Linked DNA regions of Schizosaccharomyces pombe. The protein of the gene in region 1 interacts with the protein of each later gene in a biochemical or structural test. Each region holds a gene or a part of one and is shown on either strand. Other genes may lie near its edges.

What was found.
Region 2: the proteins of sin1 (region 1) and gad8 form a complex in vitro, tested with the Schizosaccharomyces pombe proteins (one study listed by BioGRID).

What each region holds. Positions count from the first base shown.
Region 1 is NC_003424.3:4,745,319-4,750,150, reverse strand, and holds sin1 (MAP kinase-interacting protein Sin1), read left to right. Parts: upstream 1-1,723; 5' UTR 1,724-1,862; coding exon 1,863-1,885; intron 1,886-1,928; exon of another isoform or gene 1,929-1,944; coding exon 1,945-3,828; exon of another isoform or gene 3,829-3,867; coding exon 3,868-3,958; 3' UTR 3,959-4,051; downstream 4,052-4,832. Other genes in the region: mid2 (septin ring organizing protein), read left to right, coding at 1-1,012; transcription factor TFIIE subunit Tfa1, read right to left, coding at 4,052-4,832. UniProt on the Schizosaccharomyces pombe protein: Component of the mechanistic target of rapamycin complex 2 (mTORC2), which regulates multiple cellular processes to control cell growth in response to environmental signals.
Region 2 is NC_003421.2:910,775-916,051, reverse strand, and holds gad8 (serine/threonine protein kinase (AGC family) Gad8), read right to left. Parts: upstream 3,553-5,277; 5' UTR 2,936-3,552; coding exon 2,914-2,935; intron 2,843-2,913; coding exon 1,155-2,842; 3' UTR 814-1,154; downstream 1-813. Other genes in the region: SAGA complex subunit Ada2, read left to right, coding at 1-670; SPOM_SPCC24B10.06 (uncharacterized protein), read right to left, coding at 4,793-4,988, 5,054-5,204. UniProt on the Schizosaccharomyces pombe protein: Involved in a signaling module for sexual development and cell growth under stressed conditions. Required for G1 arrest under nitrogen starvation and for growth at high temperature and osmolarity.

The DNA.
Region 1 (4,832 bases):
GCCAGAATCGTTATCGCGAAATTTGTCCAGTAGTTTGCAACAAACCGGCGGGAGTGGAAGATTGTTTGTCCGTCTTATGGAAATCAGAAACTTAACTATTCCTTTGGCATCGGGGATGACCACTAGGTTCACTTATACAATCTCTGGTAAGCACATTCAAGTACCATGGAACGCCTTACACTCTACTACTAAAATTGAAAATGAGTATACTTTTGATGAAAGTATTAGTTCTTCAATTGTATGTACGCTCCGTGCGGCTTACGATCCACCTAAGGTTCGCACTCGTTCTACACTTGGAAAAGTATTTTCAACAAATAAGAGAAAGTCTATGACTACCGACCCCGTTTCAGAAGCACTTCATGGATTTGTTTCTGAAGATGGAACTTTCGGCGAAGTTACCATTAACACTGATTCTGTAAGCCGAACCGCACTAGGCCGTTGTCAATCTATGGTTCTACCAATCATGAACAAATGGACTGTTGATCCGGCAGCTAAAGATGTCAAGCCTCTCCCTCGAAAAGTAGGAGAACTCGAAATCCACGTATTTTTCTTACCAGCGCTTCCTGTCTCTCTGAAAGAACTTCCCGCTTCAATCGAGTCTGCCATGTATGACTTAAAGCTTGCTGAATGGGATAGAACTTTATTGTGTGATGGTTATCTATGTCAACAAGGTGGGGATTGCCCTTATTGGCGTCGTCGCTATTTTCAATTAATAGGATCAAAGTTAGTAGCTTTTCAACAATTCTCTAAAGTTCGCAGAGCAACGATTGATTTGTCTGAAGCCACACATATCGTGGATGACAACCATTATAGTGATGAAGAAGAACTAGAAGGGTATCTGTATTTCGAATCGGGTTTCCGTATCATTTTCAGTAATGGGGACTACATCGATTTTTACGCTGAAACCGTCGGCGAAAAAGATGAGTGGATGTCTACACTTCGTCAGCATTTGGGGCAATGTTCAATGGTTCACAAAAATTGGACCAAATCATTTCTTTCGCTGAGTTTTTAAATTGACCATTTGCTTCGACCTCACTTTTTCTATTTAAATCACATTTGGTCTTTATCTTCTCCTTTATCTATATCGTCTTGCATTTTTCATTGGTTTTGTTGTTTCCCTCGCATAATACATAATGTTCATTTTATCTACCATCGAGAAGCTAGATTCGGTTGAAATGAGCTCGTTTTATATAAGCTGTTAAAAATCGGATAGCAATTACTTACTACTCCCCATGTATATTTATACTTCAGTTGCAAAATACTTCATTTTTGAAAGTTTCCCTTGATCCGAAGAAACGTTGTCAAAATAAGTTGTCTCAAAACGTTTATCTTGGCTTTGTAAATAAATCAAATTCCTTAAAATACTCTAGCTTGGCGTTGTCGAGTGAATTTATTAAGTCGTAAGCTTGCCATTTGAGAAACTTCAAAAAATAAAAATTCCACAATAATTTAATTACATTATTCTGTAAATAATTAATACCGTAATTGCTATATAGTTCAAATACCATTTTTAGCTGTTTCGCAATATCTAAAACGTATATGAGATCACTTTTTTTCATTGTCTAGCGTTTTTGTACTTCAGTTAATAACTGTTTGAATTAATAGTTTCGTTCATATTTTGCTGTCTTTTGAAATTTGGTGGTACTTTACGGTGTTACCCCCAACACTTAATTAAATGCTTAGCGGGGGATACATAGCAACTGAAATAAAGCACGCGGCGTCCGTCACCAACGTTTCACATAATTGAGTTTACAAATTTTCTATATTAAGGTGCCATAAAAAGTATGGTCGCTAAGTATTCAAACTTCGTTGAAATTAAATATTTTATAAAGTCTGTAAATGCGATATAATAAGGACTCAGAATGGAATTAACAAGAGAGAAAGTGTAAGGATACTATTTTTTTTCCTATGAAACTTATACAAACTAATACGTTTATTTTACAGTCTTTTGTTAACATTTTTGCGAATGCAATATTCTCATATACTTCCTGACTCAATCGAAAATCGAGTTATATCTACTGAGGCCCCGGAATGGGAATTGGACAAATCATTGCAAGACTTGTTGATTCATGATTATGATTATTCTAAAACTTCGTTTTCTTCAAGTCCCCCGATTGTCGCTAATGACACTGTATCCAATGTCCGAAAGCCGAGTGATACTAAACAAGTAAATGGTGCTGGGGGTCAAGTTAATCATTCTCGAGCTGAAGATTCTGATTATGCTACTTCTGACTTATCCGAATCTTCAGATGTGGGTGATGACGATAACTCGTGTATATTTTCTTTTAGCAAAGTCCCAATGCAGAAGGATGTTGCAAGTATAAAAGAAGAGGAAAGACTGGACCCCAAAATTTCCACATTAAATAATATTGATGCTATCGCAAATCTTAAGCTTACCAACATGGTAGAATCCTCGCAGGCAGTGAATTTAACCTCGTCCAAACAGTCTTCCATAAACCAGCAAAGCAGTGTTTCTACGGATTATGATGATCTACGGTCGATTTCTGAGGAATCATTTCATTTAAGTCAAGGAGAAATTCCTCTTACTTTTCCAATGAATTCTTCCTTAACTGACACTGAAGCTGATGCAGTTGTTGCGGTTGATGCTCTTTTTCCTGGTAAGCAACGCGGAACACACAATACAGTCAATAAAGCAAGATCTGTTTCGAACGCAAAGGCTCCTACATCTGCTCTTCGTGCATTACTTGAACATAAAGAAAACAGTAGCCAGAATGGGCCATTGGCTGAAAATTTTGCTACTTTTTCTGGACATGCAGAATCAAATGCCCTCCGTTTAAACATTTATTTTCCTTCGAGCGAAAGTCCTTCAAAGCCCTTATTTGTAGAACTCCGAAAGAATGTTTTGGTCTCTGAGGCTATCGGTTATATTTTACTTCAATACGTTAACCAGCAACTCGTGCCCCCAATAGAAGATGAGGCTCAAAATCCGAATTATTGGAATTTACGTATTGTTGAAGATGACGGGGAGCTAGATGAAGATTTTCCCGCTTTGGACCGTGTAGGTCCATTATCAAAATTTGGTTTTGACGCATTTGCTTTAGTTAAAGCCACTCCTGCCCAAATAAAGGAAAATCAAGCTGCCTACCCGTTTAAATCGAAGCATCCAACATCAATTCCTGAAGCCAATAACAAAACGCATATTCGGCATACTAGTTCAACTTCAAGTCAATCACAAAAGCAAGCTCAGGATGTCAAAGATACACTTAATACTTCTCATGTCGTACAGGTACGACTTCCCCCATACGGGGATAATGCTCGATTTTGCAATATTGAAATATCAAAAACTACTAGATTGGCTATGGTGTTGAACCAGGTGTGTTGGATGAAGCAATTGGAGCGATTTAAGTATACTCTGCGAGTTGCTGGATCTGATACTGTTTTACCACTTGATAAAACATTTAGTTCACTAGACGGAAATCCAACTCTAGAACTTGTTAAAAAGAAGGTACGCGATAAAAAAGGAAGTACCCAACAATTGCCAACCTCCTCACCACAAAATTCCGTTTATGGATCTATTAAGAAAGATGCACAATCTTCAACATACAATGCAACAGATATTATGTCGAGCAATACCTATCAAGAATTTCTTGTATGGAAACGACAACCTGTTTCATTTATGGGAAGACATGAGCGTCTACTAGCTATTGATGGAGAATACGTTCACATAATGCCGTCTGAATCCAAAAATATATTTGAAACGCCTAAGACGTCCAGTATACATGCTGGATCGATTATTTTATGCAAGCAGTCTAAAAAATCACCATGTAATTTTAAAATGATTGTGTCCAAGAATAGGGAAACTAAGCGGTAAGAAATTTTTTAACGCTAATAAGCTAACGAGTTCAGGTATGATTTTGAAGTTTTGTCCGCCTTGGAAGCTGCCATTATAGTTAGCAGGATACGTGCACTGATGAATACTGTTAAAAAAATAAATTAACATTTATTTATTACAAAAAGATTCTATGAATACATAGGTATAAACACCTTTGTTTTTTGGTATCACATTGCTCTCTCCCCTATGTCATTTTTATTAAACATCTTCAAAATCAGCTTCATCTTCATCGTCTTCATCGTCCTCATTAAATCCATTAATAATAACATTCTTTTTACTTTCTTGCATTTCCGTATCACCATCAGTAATACCATTTGTAGAAACAATAGGTGGTAATGAATTGTTTTCTTCTATCGATTTTGTTCTTTTATTTTGGATATCACTATCTGAATTTAGGTTCTCGGTTTTACGCTTGACCGACCCATAATCAGTACTTTTGTTTTGAAGAGAGGTAGCCGTCGTAACGTCTAAGAAGTCATCATCCTCCTCATCATCTACGTTTTCACTGTCCATAAACTCGCTTTCCTCTTTTTGCTTTGCACGAAGTGTTGCGTAATAAGCATCTAAGGCGCTCTTTTCAGAAGTAATATCTGTTTTAGTGTCTTGAACCTCATTAACAGTTTCAGTTCTAAAACTATGAAGTGCGGCATCTTTAGCTCCAGCACGAGTAATGGAGCCAGAAATTGTTGATGTTGCATGCCATTCGGGAAGAATGTTTTGAGCAGCTTTGACTTGCTTGTCGCAATTCCTTTCACGCTTTTCATCAGTCTCTTTATCAGCAGAGAAATCAACTGTAATAGATGGCGAAGAGGTGGAAAGACGGACGTCTGAATTACTTTTTGACAAGTTTTGTTGCGACAAATTTTGGGTGTCTAACGAAACAGGAACCGCATGTTCTAAAGCAGATTGGAAATTGTTTTGTGGTACGACAATTTCATCCACCCTTTTCAATGCATCGATTATACCATTAACTTGTCCC
Region 2 (5,277 bases), on another chromosome or scaffold:
TCTTACTCGTCGGGCTGTTCGTAAACAAACCATTTTCAATCACAACCTTTTAGATTATCGACGGCTACAGGCGAATGAGAAGCGCATGTCAAAAGAGGAACGAAACTTACTTAATAAAACAAAAGCATTTGCTCGACTTTTGACGGGCCCTGATTACCAAAAGTTCGTGAACAGCTATCACGAGCAAATAACCCTAAAAAAACAAATTTCTGATTTACAGGAATGGCGACAGATGGGTCTTACTACACTCGAACAAGGACATAAATATGAACGCGATAAAACGCAAAAATTCCTCTTAAGTAAAGCTTCTGCTTCATATGATAAGCAATTGAGGCATGTTAAGTCGTTTAACCAAACCACTTCCGCTCCTTTTCAAGTTCGTGACATTCAAAAGATTGTTCCTCGAAAACCAGCGACTCCCACAATGTTTTCTGCTTCCGCTGATCGGCAACTGCTTTCAGAGGATGAGCAAGCGCTTTGCTCAAAACTGCAGATTTTCCCTAAACCATTTTTGGCTCTAAAATTTGCCTTAATATCGGCTTCACTGACTTCCAAAAAACCATTTCAAAAAACCGATGCAGTTAATTTATTTAAACACTTAGACGCTAATAAAGTCGAACAGGTGTACGACTTCTTCCATAATGCTCGGTGGATTGGCGCTCCAACCTAAAAGTACTGGTTTCTTTTACCTTTTTCATATTACTCTTGTTTATTACCTTTACGTTTTGAAATGTAATTTTACTAATTACCCCTTCACCTTTAATTACATCTCCGTCTTTTTTTCCCTTTTCAATAGCCGTTACGTTCTTATGCTTAATAATTAAAAAGAGTTTTCCATCAATTTTCTACACTAGTAATTTCGGAAACTACAAGAACAAAAAACACTACATCCAACAATATCTGAGACTTTTTCTCAGCTGACAAAAAATAAATAATCTTCAAAGACTTGAGGTTGTCAGTAATAATAATAATAATAATGATAATAATAATAGTAATAGAAAATGATCTTGTACGACAAAAAAAGATGACAATAATGAGAAATGAACGAAGCTTTGGCCTTTATAACATACAAATATGTAAAAGAGGCAAGAAAAGCGGCATGTATGAGTAAAAATGAGAAAACTTTCAAAATAAACAAAGAAGTGTCAAATTCATCACCTAATGACACTTCCAGGTGCTATTGTATTAATGTCGTCGGATGTATCAATGGTTGTTGGTCGTTGATAGCTCCAATTGGCAAACCTTTGTTGAACGGTTTCAGATAAGTGAGAATCGGCAACAACACTATCCATTGGGATTTCCGATGTAAATTCAGAATCAAAATTACTAGTATCGATAGCTGATTCAACGCTTGGTTTAAAGGGTGGCTGTATCTTCTTGGCGCATAACTTTTTCCAGTCGATATCATCAAAGAAAGGGTGATTTTTTATTTCTTGCGCCCCTCCACTACCCAGCCGCTTCTCTGGAGCGCGGGTCAACAATCCACTCAATAAATCTTTTGCTTTCTCGTCAATGTTGTCTGGGAATCGCAAGGGATCTTGAAGAATTTTTCGGTACATTTCGTTTATATTTTCATCATAAAAAGGAGGAAGTCCTGTAATCATTTCGTAAAGTAGCACACCTAAAGTCCACCAGTCAACAACTTTTGTATAACCATGACCCAAAAGCAATTCAGGAGCGAGGTATTCAGGGGTGCCACAAAAAGTATTCGTTCTATCGGTTTTAGCCATGTTTAGCTTACAAAGTCCAAAATCACACAAAGCAATATGACCGGTGTAGTCTAATAATATGTTTTCCGGTTTTAAGTCTCGATAAATAACGTTGAACTCATGCAAACATTCCAAAGCAACAAGTAGTTCAGCAATGTAAAATTTGGCACGATATGTATCAAAACAGCCTTCTCTTTGTAAGTGATGAAATAACTCACCACCGTTAACAAAGGCCAGGACAAGATACAGCTTACCGGGAGATTGAAAGGAGAACTTTAATGGAACAATAAAAGGGTTATTAACTTGAGCAAGTACTGTCCTCTCAGCCAATGTGTGATCTACTTCACTGCGAGATACAATGTGGGCTTTTTTCATAGTTTTTAAAGCATAGATACGAGAAGTGTCACGCTTACGCACTTGCATGACTTTTCCAAAAGAGCCTTTGCCAACCACTTTCAATAGTTCAAATGCATCAATGGTTAAAGGGGTACTTTGATTGGGTTTGTAAAGCATTTGAACACGAAGTTCACCGCTACCCCCATGCAGGGGTACCCATTCGTCTGTAAGCTTGTTTACAATGAAAGAAGGCGACAGTTTAATCCCGCCTAGGAAAGCGTCATTCCCCATACCGTTGCGCGAGCGGCTGGATGAAGAACGAAGGTAAATATTCAGGGAGAGTTTGGAATAACGGGAAACGTCAAAAGTTGCCTGATAATCCCAGCAAGGATTTTCAAGGCTTGCAGTATTTAGAGCATCTACTAAGATTTCATTTTTGTCGAATTCAACGACGATATAAGGTAACCACCAAGCATGACTACGAGACCTTGCGTGTCCCGAGCCATTACTAAGTGGAGGGGCAAGTAAAGAATTGTCAATGGAAACCCCGTAGTTGGCAGGAACATGTCCCGACGGTAATTTTAAATTTCTAGCTTCTATAATTGTGACCTGCAATAAACCAGGCTGCACGACGGTACTTTGGGGAGACCGTTTATCCTCCGAGCTTTTCCGAGATTTTTCATCACTTGATTTACGAGAAGAAGTAGAGGATAAAGTACTGTTTTTCAGACCTCTAGTAAAACTAGAGCCGCCAGAGTTCAGGCCAATAGCGGATGCTAGATGAGTTTCTTTTAATTCTAAAAAGCGAAAAGCTGTTAGTATGAAAAAGAAAGACAGAGTGTGATAACCCGTATTATGGAATACATACTCTTTGTAAGTTTCCAGGACATTTCGGTAACGTCTGTTTGGAGTAGAAAAAAAAAATGAACTGATTTTTAAAAGCTCGCTTTCCCTCTATCTTTTCTTTTAATATAACGAAAATGATAAAGAATAAGGTAACGAGGCTGCAAAAAAGCTTCAATCTAACAAAAAACGTATTTATGGACTAATTCGAAGACAAAAACGGGAAGTGTACCAGTAAGCGAATACGAACGAACAATCAAATCAAATCCAAAAAAAAAATAAAATAAAAAGTAAGCACAAGTTGCAATTTTTTTTGAATAAACGAAAGGGGATACAGGCGTTTGGTAATGTCAGTATAGTAGTAAATTCGTCAAAGAAATCTAATCCCGATAAGTAGTAAGCAAGGGTGTTGATTTTAAAATTCAAAATAAATCGCAATCTCTTTTATTCCAAAATCCCTACTAAAGGAATGCTTCGTTGATAAAGTCGATTTCTAAGCCGATTTTGGTATTACGACTTTGAGCAAAGTCGCCTTCACCTCGCGGAAATTTTGACGAAATTGAAACCAATCGACAGCACTAAATACGTTAAAGTCAATGAAATAAAATTTGATGTCAAAAATGCTTTCGTTTGATATTCCCTTTGTTAGGTCGTATTGGCAGTCAGTAGATGTGGCCAGCTCGGATCATCCGTATTCCTAAAATACAAGTGGTACAAGACAGCAGCTTTTTGCGGCAGAACAACGTGAGTTCGATAAAATATTATAAGGAGAGCTACCGATACGGTCGGCACATTACGCAGGTTTGTCGTATAATGATCAAAAATTATAGACCCTTTTCTCGTACGATTGCACTATATATAAAAGTTCTTTGCAATGGTGTTTTACATATCAGCTATTAAATTAGTTAACTTAGTAATGTCAAAAAGATGGAATATTAATATAGAGAAATTAAAAGTGCTGGTGTACTCTTGTAAGTGGTAACTTGCTCAAGTTTGTAGTGACCTAAATTGAAACATAGGATTTATACTACACGTGTCAAGAAACAGCACTCAAATGGATCAATTTACAAAACGAAGTATATAGCAAAACAATACAAATAATTATCTTGACAATTATCTGCGGACAAACGCAAAATGCCGTTTACGCGTATGTGTAGCTTAGCAGACCAATTAACTTTATTTGTTTTAAAATAATTATAGAAGCATGTAAATACCACCGTTAGGATTGCAATATCCTCTTTACAAAACAAGTCATTTATTTATGCCTTCCATCAGATTTTTGCAACTTCCAAGTACGATGCGTTTTGTAAAATTTCAGTTCCTTGTGCAACAAGCGAAAAAAAAAGATAAAGCAATTTAACGGAAAAGCAATTTGTATACCAATGCTCTACTTTTAATACACTGGACGCTTCGTACAAGTCCTTCAAAGTGTATATAAATCCAAAGAGAACTGAAAAACAAAAAACATTTTCAAATAAAATAAAATAAAATAACATATAAAACAGAAATAAAACATGAACAATGAATTTATGAAAAGAACGAAATTTGTTGAAACTGATGACTCACTCAACTGTAGGCAAACCCTTACTTACCCATGAGAAAAGCAAATTCTTTTCGTAGTTACTTCTAGAAGGCTCCTCACTAGTAAAAGCGATGTTTCTTCAGAGTTTTGAATTTTCTCACAGAGAGCTCCCTTTGTGTGTTTTATTTAAAGGGATGAGACGAGTTTGCCAAAGCGCCTAAAAAAAGAAACCGGTTATCGAGCGCAGATATAGAATTGACAGTGTAAGTAGCAACAAAAATTTTAAAAGAGTAAAGTAGAATCAAAAACTATATCTAAGTTTAGAAAATCCCTAAAGAGAAATTTTCAGGTGAATGTTAGGGGGTAGGTTCCGGTTGAATTTTTAAAGGACTAAAGCGGCAAAAGCAGCAATGCTCAAGAGTGAAACAATCAATAATGAACTCTTGGAAAACCGGACAGGGGACCCACTCTCCATCAATTCGCGCCCTGTATTGGGAATGGATGCTGCGTATCCAATGGATCCGGCAGGTGCAGAAGTGTAAGTAGTAGATGGTTGATATTCGGTGTAACTATAAGGACTAAAAATAATATTAGTAATTTTACACAAACAAATAGTTTCCATAAAATGACAAGCATGACTTACAAAATGGTTTCTACACCATCCGACCAAGATTTGTCGGTGACAATCACAACATCGCTCACAGTAGTAGAGTAACTTGCCTGAGTTGAACTAGAATCATCATCCCTCTTAACAAATGGGGTCAAAGGAATTTTTGAGGGCAAAACACGATTAGCTAAATATACTGAGTTAGCTATTTCACATAGTCACAAAATATAAAGACAGAGACATAGAGAATAGAGAAGGGA